Linked DNA regions of Callithrix jacchus. The protein of the gene in region 2 purifies or fractionates together with the protein of the main gene of each other region. This does not show direct contact. Links are inferred from orthologs where the notes say so. Each region holds a gene or a part of one and is shown on either strand. Other genes may lie near its edges.

What was found. Proteins that work in one complex are often made in the same cells at the same time.
Region 1: the proteins of EXOSC5 (region 2) and HBS1L purify together in Homo sapiens (affinity purification with mass spectrometry; 3 studies listed by BioGRID and IntAct, with this or other methods). This does not show direct contact. The link is inferred for Callithrix jacchus from reciprocal best matches to the Homo sapiens genes EXOSC5 and HBS1L.

Annotation. Positions count from the first base shown.
Region 1 is NC_133505.1:141,712,586-141,717,939, reverse strand, and holds part of HBS1L (HBS1-like protein), read left to right. Parts: intron 1-550; coding exon 551-813; intron 814-1,268; coding exon 1,269-1,434; intron 1,435-4,367; coding exon 4,368-4,485; intron 4,486-5,354. UniProt on the Homo sapiens protein: GTPase component of the Pelota-HBS1L complex, a complex that recognizes stalled ribosomes and triggers the No-Go Decay (NGD) pathway.
Region 2 is NC_133523.1:36,659,874-36,665,227, reverse strand, and holds the end of EXOSC5 (exosome complex component RRP46), read left to right. Parts: coding exon 1-82; intron 83-2,172; coding exon 2,173-2,262; intron 2,263-3,322; coding exon 3,323-3,425; intron 3,426-3,729; coding exon of another isoform or gene 3,730-3,767; coding exon 3,768-3,979; 3' UTR 3,980-4,123; downstream 4,124-5,354. Other genes in the region: TMEM91 (transmembrane protein 91), read right to left, coding at 5,117-5,275. UniProt on the Homo sapiens protein: Non-catalytic component of the RNA exosome complex which has 3'->5' exoribonuclease activity and participates in a multitude of cellular RNA processing and degradation events.

The DNA of each region.
Region 1 (5,354 bases), on a different chromosome or scaffold from region 2:
TAGTATATGTTGTAGTTTTTAGTAAATCGGGTGTTTGTTGAATTAATTAATTAAAGCTCCACTGTCAAAAATGTTTATGAACTGTAGTCATTTAGAGATATCTCCCCTGAGGGGGATAATAAAAAGGATCATAAGTTTATCATGTTGGAAGGATGAGTTGGGGTAAAACTATATTTTAGTACTAATTCTACTCCAGTAATATATTTGGTGCCATTTTTACAAAATATCCCCTTTATACCATTGATTTTGATAGGATGGATTATATCGCCAAGGCTTAGATTTTGAATTTCAGTTATTTTTAAAGATATTTTCTTCATACCTTCATTTTTTGGTACACTGTTTTTCTCTTGGGATCTTCCACATCTGTATTTGTGTGGTTTGAGTCTAGCTACTTATCATTTCCACCTTAACAGACTCTAGCTACTTAGCAGAGATTATTTTTGGTCTGGAGTATAAAGAATTATGAAGAAACAGTTTTTCTGCCCTTCTGACATTATAGAACATCAGTCGAGTTGGTTTAAAATGCTTTTTTCCTGTCTGCCTTCTGTAGAGTAACTTCTGAAGAAAATGGTCATAGTTTCCACACACCTCAAAAGGGACCGCCCAGTGAAGATGTCAGCATTGCTGCTTCTGATGTTCTTGAGACTGCTTCTAAATCTGCTAATCCACCCCACATGATTCAAGCCTCAGAAGAGCAGAGTTTAGCCCCAGCATCAATGAGAAAGTCTGGCAAGCTGAGACAGCAAATAGATGTGAAGGTGGAACTGGAGAAGCGGCAAGGAGGGAAGCAGCTCCTCAACTTAGTGGTCATTGGTAATGCCCTTTGTCCCTCTGGATCGTCAGCCTCCATGCCTTACCCTGCCCACTGTCTTGTGGCCGCATGGAAATTCCGAGTTCTCGATAGGTGGAATGGACAGAAAGCGAGGAGGCACGGCCTCATAATGCTTTCTAGTCACCTGAGGAGAGAGAATGCCAAGTTACCGAAGAAGTCATTACACTTGGTTGTGGGATTTTTTGTTTTGTGAACATTTTGAAATTGGCATGTCTTGTTGACAATTTTAATTTCCAAAAATCTGAGAAACTTACCCCCTCTGTAAAGAGACTTGCTCTTTTTTTTTCTATTTAGATGTTTTAACTGTCATTTGATAAATACTGGCATTATTACTGTAAACCACTGACATGAAATAGTGAGTTATACATGTATGCAATGCCTCAGTGTGAACGTCTGGAAATGTACCTGGTATTAATCCTGAATCAATTTTCTTTAGGTCATGTTGATGCTGGGAAAAGTACTCTGATGGGCCATATGCTTTATCTTCTGGGTAATGTAAACAAAAGAACTATGCATAAGTATGAACAGGAGTCTAAAAAGGCTGGCAAAGCTTCGTTTGCATATGCATGGGTCTTGGATGAGACTGGCGAAGAAAGGGAAAGGTAGTCACTATATTTTGTAATTTTCAGTTTGAAGTCATATAGTCTTCTAAAATAAGTGTATAATATGTCTCAAATTTGTAAAACATATGAAATACGTTAGAGACTATTTTTAGAAAATAGCTTTTAAATATCAGGGAAAATCTACATACTGTTTTTACTCCTCGAAACTTTATGGAAATAGATTAAAAGAATGTTTGTCAGAAACAAAGTAAAACAAAAGCCATGCAGAAAAAAAAACAGTAAAAATCATAAGCTAATTATTCTATGGGATAAGTTTCAGTTGTTACTTCCTTAAGTACATGTCAAATTGTCTTGATTTTGAATTAAAAGTAAGACTTTTAATTTCATGTCAGCTTACAAAGGAAATGTAACTGTAGTAAAACCTCTTTTGTCTAGAATCTAAGTAACCAGCAAATTCAAATTACTAAATAATTCATTTTTATACTTTATATATTCTGTTTTTGTGAGACAGCAAACAAGTAATTCTGTAGCTATAATGCAGTCAGTTACTTATCTTTCTCTGTTACTGTGTTAAGTGCTAATTTTGGGGAGATTCTAATAGGAATATGCAGCTACTAATATACTCTGGCCAAAGAATAGTATTTCTTTTGAAGTATATTTAGAGTGACAGTATATATCATGCTAGGGTGGGAGAGCCAAAGGACACCTTGATAATGTCATGGCAGATATATCAACTGTGTCAAAATAATAACTATTTACAAACCAAGTCCTGTGAAAGTCTTAAATTAGCAAGGAGATTAAACTGTGTTCCCTGATGTCTTCAGTCTGATTATTGGAGAATGTATCTGGATATTCATGCCTTTTTAATATGTATTTTCTTGCAGTCTTGCATAGTATCCATTATAATATATGAGATAATGCTCTGTAGAGCAGGTCACAGTATTCCTTACCTCTTCTGGTAAACCAGAATTTGTATCATAATGTTTTCTCTTTCTTTGCGGGTGTCTTTAATTCTATATAGTATCACAGGCCTGTTTTCTATCCTAGTAAGAAAAATTAGCTGGACAGTTGCCAATTATGGAAAACAATGGAATTGTATATGATACAATATTAGAAGCCTAAATAATTTTCACCTGTCAGTTTAACAAGCACATTATTAAAGTATGTAGTTTTTTAGTTTTCTCTGCGTTATCTAATAAGTAGGTAAAGACATTGAGAACAGTATATTTAAGTTAGAATGGTTCACTTGAAGTTAACTAAGTTACCTAGTATCTTAGTTGAGCTGGCAAGTGAACTAATAATTGATTTGAATCCTACAATGGTCAGTCATTTTAGCTTTTTTGATAATGTTATCTATTGATTGGTTTTCATATTTTTGCTGCTGCTGGTTCTTTATTGCTCAGCATAAGTTTTAGAATATTTCTTCATTCCATAGACAGCAGATGCTTTCAGGTATATAATGGGAGTTTTAGCTCACCACCATATGTTCCTTAATAGCATTTACAAAATGTAATATGTTGCTTATCCCACCATGTTAAATATTTGTAAATCCCTTGTTCTTCTCAGATACTGAAGAACAGAAATGAGTAAATTTCATATCCTTTGGGTTGCAATGACATTTCATATCCTTAGGGTTACAAATTGAAATCAGAGCTGGGTCAGCAGAGTATACTCAGGTCAGTCTACAGAGGATCTCGGAGTAAGTCTTAGTTCGCCATTATTCTGAAGGTGCCCGTGGTGCTTGGATTATTGGGAATTATTAAAGAGAATTAAGCATCACTTTGTCAAACTTGGATGGCCCAGGCTTTCAGGTTAAACTCAAATGTCTTGACTAAGGAGACCCACAGTTACTTTATTGCTAGGGCAAACCTATAGTTTGTTATTCTAATTGTTGTACTCTTTTGGTAGTAAAAGGGAGTACTATTATTCATTACTTTGGATGATTCGGGGGCAGACCTCGTTTATTGCCTGCATGATTTCCCCATCTAAATGTCTGAGGCCTAGAATGACTGAGTGTCCCTGTAGACCTCCTTAGGCCTCTTATACAGGCTGAGGATCCCTAATCTGAAAATCTGAAATTCAAAATGCTCAAAAATCTGAAACATTTTGAGTGTTGGCATGACATCGCAAGTGGCACATTCTACATCTGATCTCATATGACAGGTCACACAAAACGACTAAAAATGTTGCATAAGAGTCCCTTCAGGCTATGTGTATAATGTGTATATGGAACATAAATGAATTTTGTGTTTAGACTTGGGTCCCATCCCTTAGATATCTCATTATGTATATGCAAATATTCCAAATCCAAACAAATGTGAAATTTGAAAAACTTCTAATCCCAAGCATTTCACTAATCTGAATCTATATTTTTTTGTGGCTGAAAAAGGCACTGTGTTGGTCTACAAGAAGAATTAAATAGGATAAAAAGCAGTCTGCTGTTCATGTCTCTCCGTTTCTTGAAAATTAAGCATCTGCTTTGATATCTTGTGTTTTCTAAATATGTAACATACTGACCAGCCTTGCAAATGAAAGTTTTAGAAGCTCATTTCTATAACTAGTGAAGCATAAGCATAGAACATGAAGAAAATTACCTCTTGGTAATGGTAATTTTTCATTTATCTTTTCTCATGTGCAGTATTTTTCCCCCATTTAGAGTTGTCCCCATATATGTTTCTTTGTTCACAGTTTACACTATTTCTTACAAAAAAAAATAAGGTAAGAGGGCATAACTATCATTTTTATTGAGCTCTTACTGCGAACACAACTTCATGTTGTTAAAGCCATATGAATGCACTTCTATGATACCAGACATTCCAGCCCTGATTGATAATTTAATTTTTCAAAAATAATGGTCTATAAATAAAATTTCCATTTTTACCTAAGAATTTAGATAATCATGTAGACTATTATTAATTTACTCTATAGCACTATTACATAGTACGTTCTAACCATTTTATGTTTTGTTTAAGGGGAGTAACCATGGATGTTGGTATGACCAAGTTTGAAACCACAACCAAAGTTATTACATTAATGGATGCTCCAGGCCATAAGGACTTCATTCCAAATATGATTACAGGAGCAGCCCAGGTAACTAATATTTTCTTCACAATAGTGTACTGACTGTACTTTATAAAATTTCCTAATGCTGAGGTTACAATTCTAGGATTTTAACTTTTAAAATATTTTAAAATGGAAAGTTTTAACCTTTATCAAGTTTGAACAAGAAAACAGCAATATTGTATTTTTCATGATCTTTTTACCTGTACTTTGTAAAATCTTGTTAAATTTCTTACAAAGAAACTATGTATAAAAGCTATGAATTTCTTTATTGTAAAAGGAATGGTAAAGGACTTGAGGTATAGCTTCATATTTCCTTTATTGATAAGTTGGCATGAATATTTCAAAATCTGCCTTATGTCTTTCGATATATTCAAGTCCTGTATCTTTTTAAAGAGCTTATTTATGCAGAAATAATGAAGCTTGGGTATTTTTACCCAGTGGTTTATTTACTTCCTTTAATAGTATTAAAAAGCATTACAATTTGTAAATTACATGATTCTTAGTAAGAATGCTACAAAAAATCAAATATAATTTGCAGTCATGCATCCTTTAATGATAAGGATATTTCTGAGAAATTAGTTGTTAGGCAGCTTCATTTGTGGACATATTAGTGTAATTTACACAAACCTGGATGGTAACATCTATTATACACCTAGACTATGTGGAGCCTGTAGCTTCAAGGCTGCAAACATGTTTAACATATTCCTGTATTGAATACTGTCAGCAGTTGTAGCACAGTGGTAATTGTGTATCTAAACTGATCTAAGCATATTATAGAAAAGGTACAGTAAAAATAGGGCATAAAAGATAAAAGATGATCCACCTGTATGGGGCATTTACCATGAATTGAGCTTGCAGGACTGGAAGTTGCTCTGGATGATTTGGTGAGTGAGCGG
Region 2 (5,354 bases):
GCGGGCTCTCTTCTGTGGGGTCACCTGTGCCCTGGACTCTGATGGGACCCTCGTGCTGGATCCTACATCCAAGCGAGAAAAGGTAAGTGATGACCAGGGTGGCTGAAAGGCAGAGGCCAGACAGCTCCCCCTCCCTCCCTCCAGGCCTCACTTCTCTGCAGACAGTTGGCTCATGCCACGTCAGTCCCACTTAGCAAGGGCTGCTCCAATCATCGTGGTTCGTTTAGCAGCAAGTGACAGAAACCCAGCTCAAACTTCCTTCGTTGGAAAGGAAATGTATGGCTGGGTGTGGTGGCTCACGCCTATAATCCCAACACTTTTTTTTTTAAAACGCTAGTCAAGCGAAGCAGTGGGAATGCAGAAGGAACAAGGAAATCTGTAACTGGTTGTAATCAATTAGTTGTAAACACCACTGCACTCGGACCAGCCAATCCCAACAATTTGGGAGGCCGAGGCAGGTGGATCACCTGAGGTCAGGAGTTTGAGACCAGCCTGACCAACATGGAGAAACCCTGTCTCTACTAAAAATACAAAATTAGCTGGGCGTGGTGGTGCATACCTATAATCCCACCTACTTGGGAGGCTGAGGCAGGAGAATCACTTGAACCTGGGAGGCAGAGGTTGTGGTGAGCTGAGATTACACCATTGCACTCCAGCCTGGGTGACAAGAGTGAAACTCGGTCTCAAAAAAAAAAAAAGTATGGCCAAGAACAGTGGCTCACACCTGTAATCTCAGCACTTTGGGAGACTGAGATGTACAGATCACCTGAGGCCAGGAGTTCAAGACCAGCCTGGACAACATGGTGAAACCCCGACTCTACTAAAAATATAAAAATTAGCCAGGCATGATGGTGTACGCCTGTAGTCCCAGCTAGTGGGGAGGCTGAGGCAGTAAGATTGCTTGAGGTCAGCCTGGACAACATGGTGAAACCCCGACTCTACTAAAAATATAAAAATTAGCCAGGCAGGCCGGGCGCTGTGGCTCACGCCCGTAATCCCAGCACTTTGGGAGGCCGAGGCAGGTGGATCACGACCATCCTGGTCAACACGGTGAAACCCCGTCTCTACTAAAAATACAAAAAATTAGCTGGGCCTGGTGGCGCGTGCCTGTAATCCCAGCTACCTGGGAGCCTGAGGCAGGAGAATTGCCTGAACCCAGGGGGCGGAGGTTGCGGTGAGCCGAGATCTCGCCATTGCACTCCAGCCTGGGTAACGAGCGAAACTCCGTCTCAAAAAAAAAAAAAAAAATTAGCCAGGCATGATGGTGCACACCTGTTGTAGTCCCAGCTGGTGGGGAGGCTGAGGCAGTAAGGCTTGAGGTCAGCCTGGCCAACATGGTGAAACTCTCTCTCTACTAAAAATATAAAAATTAGCCAGGCGTGATGGCATGTGTCTGTAATCCCAGCTACTCAGGAGGCTGAGGCAGGAGAATTGCTTGAACCCAGAGGGCAGAGGTTGCAATGAGCTGAGATTGTGCCACTTTACTCCAGCGTAGGCAAGTGTGAAACTCCATCTCAAAAAAATAATGAAATAAAACCAGGACCATCAGGATGTCCTCGCTTCACTTCTCGTCCCTGCCTTTCTCAGCTTCATTCTCCGTGGCTAGCATCTTTCCTGAGGCTGGGACTGACCCCGTAAGCTCCCAGTTTCCATCTTAAGAGGCTCAAAAGCAAACATCAGCTCAGGCTCAGTGTCTGAGCTCAGGTTATTCTGTGTTGTCTGCCCAGTGCTCTCATGGTTTCCTCCAATCCAGAAGGCAGAAACCATGTGGAGGGCTTGAGATGGGGGGAGCTGTTGCATTTTTTGGCAGTTGAGATGGAGTCTCGCTCTGTTACCCAGGCTGGAGTGCAGTGGCGTGATCTTGGCTCACTGCAACCTCCACCTCCCTGGTGCAGGCGATTCTCCTGCCTCAGCCTCCTGAGTAGCTGGAACTACAGGCACACACCACCACGCCCAGATCATTTTTGTATTTTTAGTAGAGATGGGATGCTCTACCCTTCTAACCCCATAGAAGGGTGACTGTCTCTCTTGACCTTGTGATCTGCCTGCCTCGGCCTCCCAAAGTGCCAAGATTATGGTCATGAGCCACTGTGCCTGGCCAAGGGACTGGCTGAGATTTTATCTGAAGGGAGGGTCCTAGGTCTCCCACTACCTTCTTCCCCTCGTCCCTAGGAGGCCCGGGCAGTCCTGACCTTCGCCCTGGACAACGTGGAACGGAAGCTGCTCATGTCCAGCACCAAGGGGCTCTTCTCGGACGCTGAGGTACCAGCATGGGGATGAGGGCAAAAGCCAGAGCCTTCCCTCCCACCGACATGCAGTCTTGTCCCAACTCTACCCCGGATTCTGAGAGGGTTCAGGAGAGCCGCTTGCATTTCTGCTTGTAAAAAACAGAGTTTTCAAACTTTGTGGTCCCAGAAACCTTTGTGGAAATGTTTAAGGGAAGCCCAATTTATGGGACAGGCAAAAAGAGGCTGAGCTCAGTTTAAAGTCAGAAGATGGCCAGGCATGAGCCCACTGGTACACACCTGTGATCCAAGCACTTTAGGAGGCTGAGGCGGGTGGCTCACGAGGTCAGGAGATTGAGACCATCCTGGCCAACGTGGTGAAACCCTGTCTCTACTAAAATTAAAAAAAAAGAAACTTTAGCCGGGTGTGATGGCACATGCCTGTAGTCCCAGTTACTCAGGAGGCTGAGGCAGGAGAATCACTTGAACCCAGAAGGTGGAGGTTGCAATGAGCTGAGATTGCACCACTGCACTCCATCCAGCCTGGCAACAGAGCAAGACTCCATCTCAAAAATAATTAATTAATAAATAAATACATACATAAATAAGGCTGGGCGCAGTGGATCACGCCTGTAATCCCAGCACTTTGGGAGGCCAAGGTGGGTGGATCACGAGGTCAGGTGATCCAAACCATCCTGGCTAACAGTGAAACCCTGTCTCTACTAAAAATACAAAAAATTAGCTGGGTATGGTGGCACGCAGCTATAATCCCAGCTACGGGAGGCTAAGGCAGGAGAATCACTTGAACCCAGGAGGCAGAGGTTGCAGTGAGCCAAGATCGTGCCACTGCACTCCAGCCTGAGCAACAGAGTGAGACTCAATCCTCAAAAAAATAAGAATAAAAAAATAAAGTCAGAAGATGAGGGCACATGATGGTCCCCCAGCTCCTAGCTCAGAGTGGTAAGCCACCAAAATTCCAGGTCTCAGGCTAAGGGACAGAAGCTTGGAAACTGCAAAAGCACGTCCAACCTGGACCTTATGAATCTAGGAATACATGGCAGGAAAGACTGGGAGTCTCTTGATTCCATGGCTCTTAGGTTATTCGGGGTCAAGGGGCCCATGACTGTAAACTCCCAAGACCACTCCAATTCTGCACTTTCTCCAGTTCCCTAGCTCTGCAAAGCTGGGGCCTCTTCCAAGGTAGGAGAGGATGCCTGATTGGTCTGAGTCCTGTTGCTGTCAGAATCTTACCCCTGAAGCCCTCACCCTCTCTTTATTTCTCCTGATCTCTAAGAAACGGCTCGTGAAGTGGGAGATAATGCCTCACCACCTGTCTCACTTGGGGGCGGGGGAGTGATGGGAGGTGAAGGGGGAGGTGGTGGGTTTGGGGGGCGAAGGGAGGCAGGTGGGGGTCAGCAAAACCTCTTGCATCAGCCCCGTCATGGTGTGTGTGTGTGTGTGTGTGTGTGTGTGCGCGCGCGCGCGCGCGCGTGCGCGCGCACAGGTCTCAGCCCCCAGCACCAACCAGTCTCTCCCCCGAAGCTCCAGCAGTGCCTGGCCGCGGCCCAGGCGGCTTCGCAACACGTCTTCCGCTTCTACCGGGAATCGCTGCAGAGGCGTTACTCCAAGAGCTGAGACAAGCTGGGGCAGGGGGCCACTCCCTCTGCCTCCACCCACCCACCCACCCGCTACAGCCTGAAGCAAACCAGCGGCCCAGCCTTGCCTCTCTGTCCTATGGGCTCATAGGACAGTGAGCCTGCAGCCATGTTACCATAGGGGCTCCTGCAGGGAGGCCTTGGCCCCTGACAGTCCCCAGGCTTGGGGACACAGATCCCTGCCCAACAAGGAGTTCACATTTATGGAATGGATGAGTCAATAAATTAATTCATTTTAACACATCTGTGGAGTACCCAATGTCTGCAGGCCCTGCTAGTGAGATCCCAGAGGAGCACGCAGCTGAGCTGGTATTTGCCAGACGGTACTAAATCTATGAAAAAAATAAAACCAGCCGGGCACAGTGGCTCACGCCTGTAATCCCAGCACTTTGGGAGGCCGAGGCAGGTGGATCACGAGGTCAAGAGTTCGAGACCATCCTGGTCAACATGGTGAAACCCTGTCTCTACTAAAAATACAAAAAATTAGCTGGGCATGGTGGTGCGTGCCTGTAATCCCAGCCACTCAGGAGGCTGAGGCAGGAGAATTGCCTGAACCCAGGAGGCGGAGGTTGCGGTGAGCCAAGATCGTGCCATTGCACTCCAGTCTGGGTAACAAGAGCGAAACTGCATCTCAAAAAGGAGTTCAAGACCAGCCTGGCCAACATAGTGAAACCCTGCCTACTAAAAATACAAAAATTAGCTGAGCGTGGTGGCAGGTGCCTGTAATCCCAGCTACTCTGGAGGCTGAGGCAGAATGGTTTGAACCCGGGAGGTGGAGGTTGCAGTGAGCCAAGATCGTGCCACTGTACTCCAGCCTGTGAGTGACAGAGTGAAACTCCATCCCAAAAACAACAACGACAATAACAAAACCCTCTTTCCCCCTTCTCCAGCTCAGGTCTCAGGGAGCAAGCACCCTGGGATGGATGCCCACCACAGCTCATCACCCTGACCGGTTGGTCCCCTCTTGGTCTCAAGCACCCCAACCCCTTCCATCCTCCCCGACACACACACACGAATAGGCTCTGGTTTGGATGCAAGGGTGTCTGGTGTTTAATCTCACGTTGCTGCCGCCCGATGAGCGGTGGCCAGGAAGGGGAGGGGTTCCAGTCCAGCTTGCTCCCATCTCTAGATGCTCCTGCTGCCGCCGCAGCCTCATCCACCAAGATTCTCCACTCTCTGCCCACAGATTCGCTGGACTGCCGGCCTCATGGTTCACAGTGAGGGCTGTAGGAGCAACTAGGGCGGGTCTCGGGAGGCAAGGTAGGCGGCCAGGGTCACCAGGGCAGCCGCATATGTGCACACGCCCAGCCCGATGGCGAGGACCCCCAACAGGAAGGCACGGCGGGAGGCGGCCCCTGCCCCCTGGATGTCCCCCTTGGCCCAAGCCTTGTTGGTCTGTAGAGGCAGTGGGCAGCAGTGACCCAGGCATCCCCTCAGCCCCAGACCTTTCCCCTGGTCCCTCCCCCACCCAACA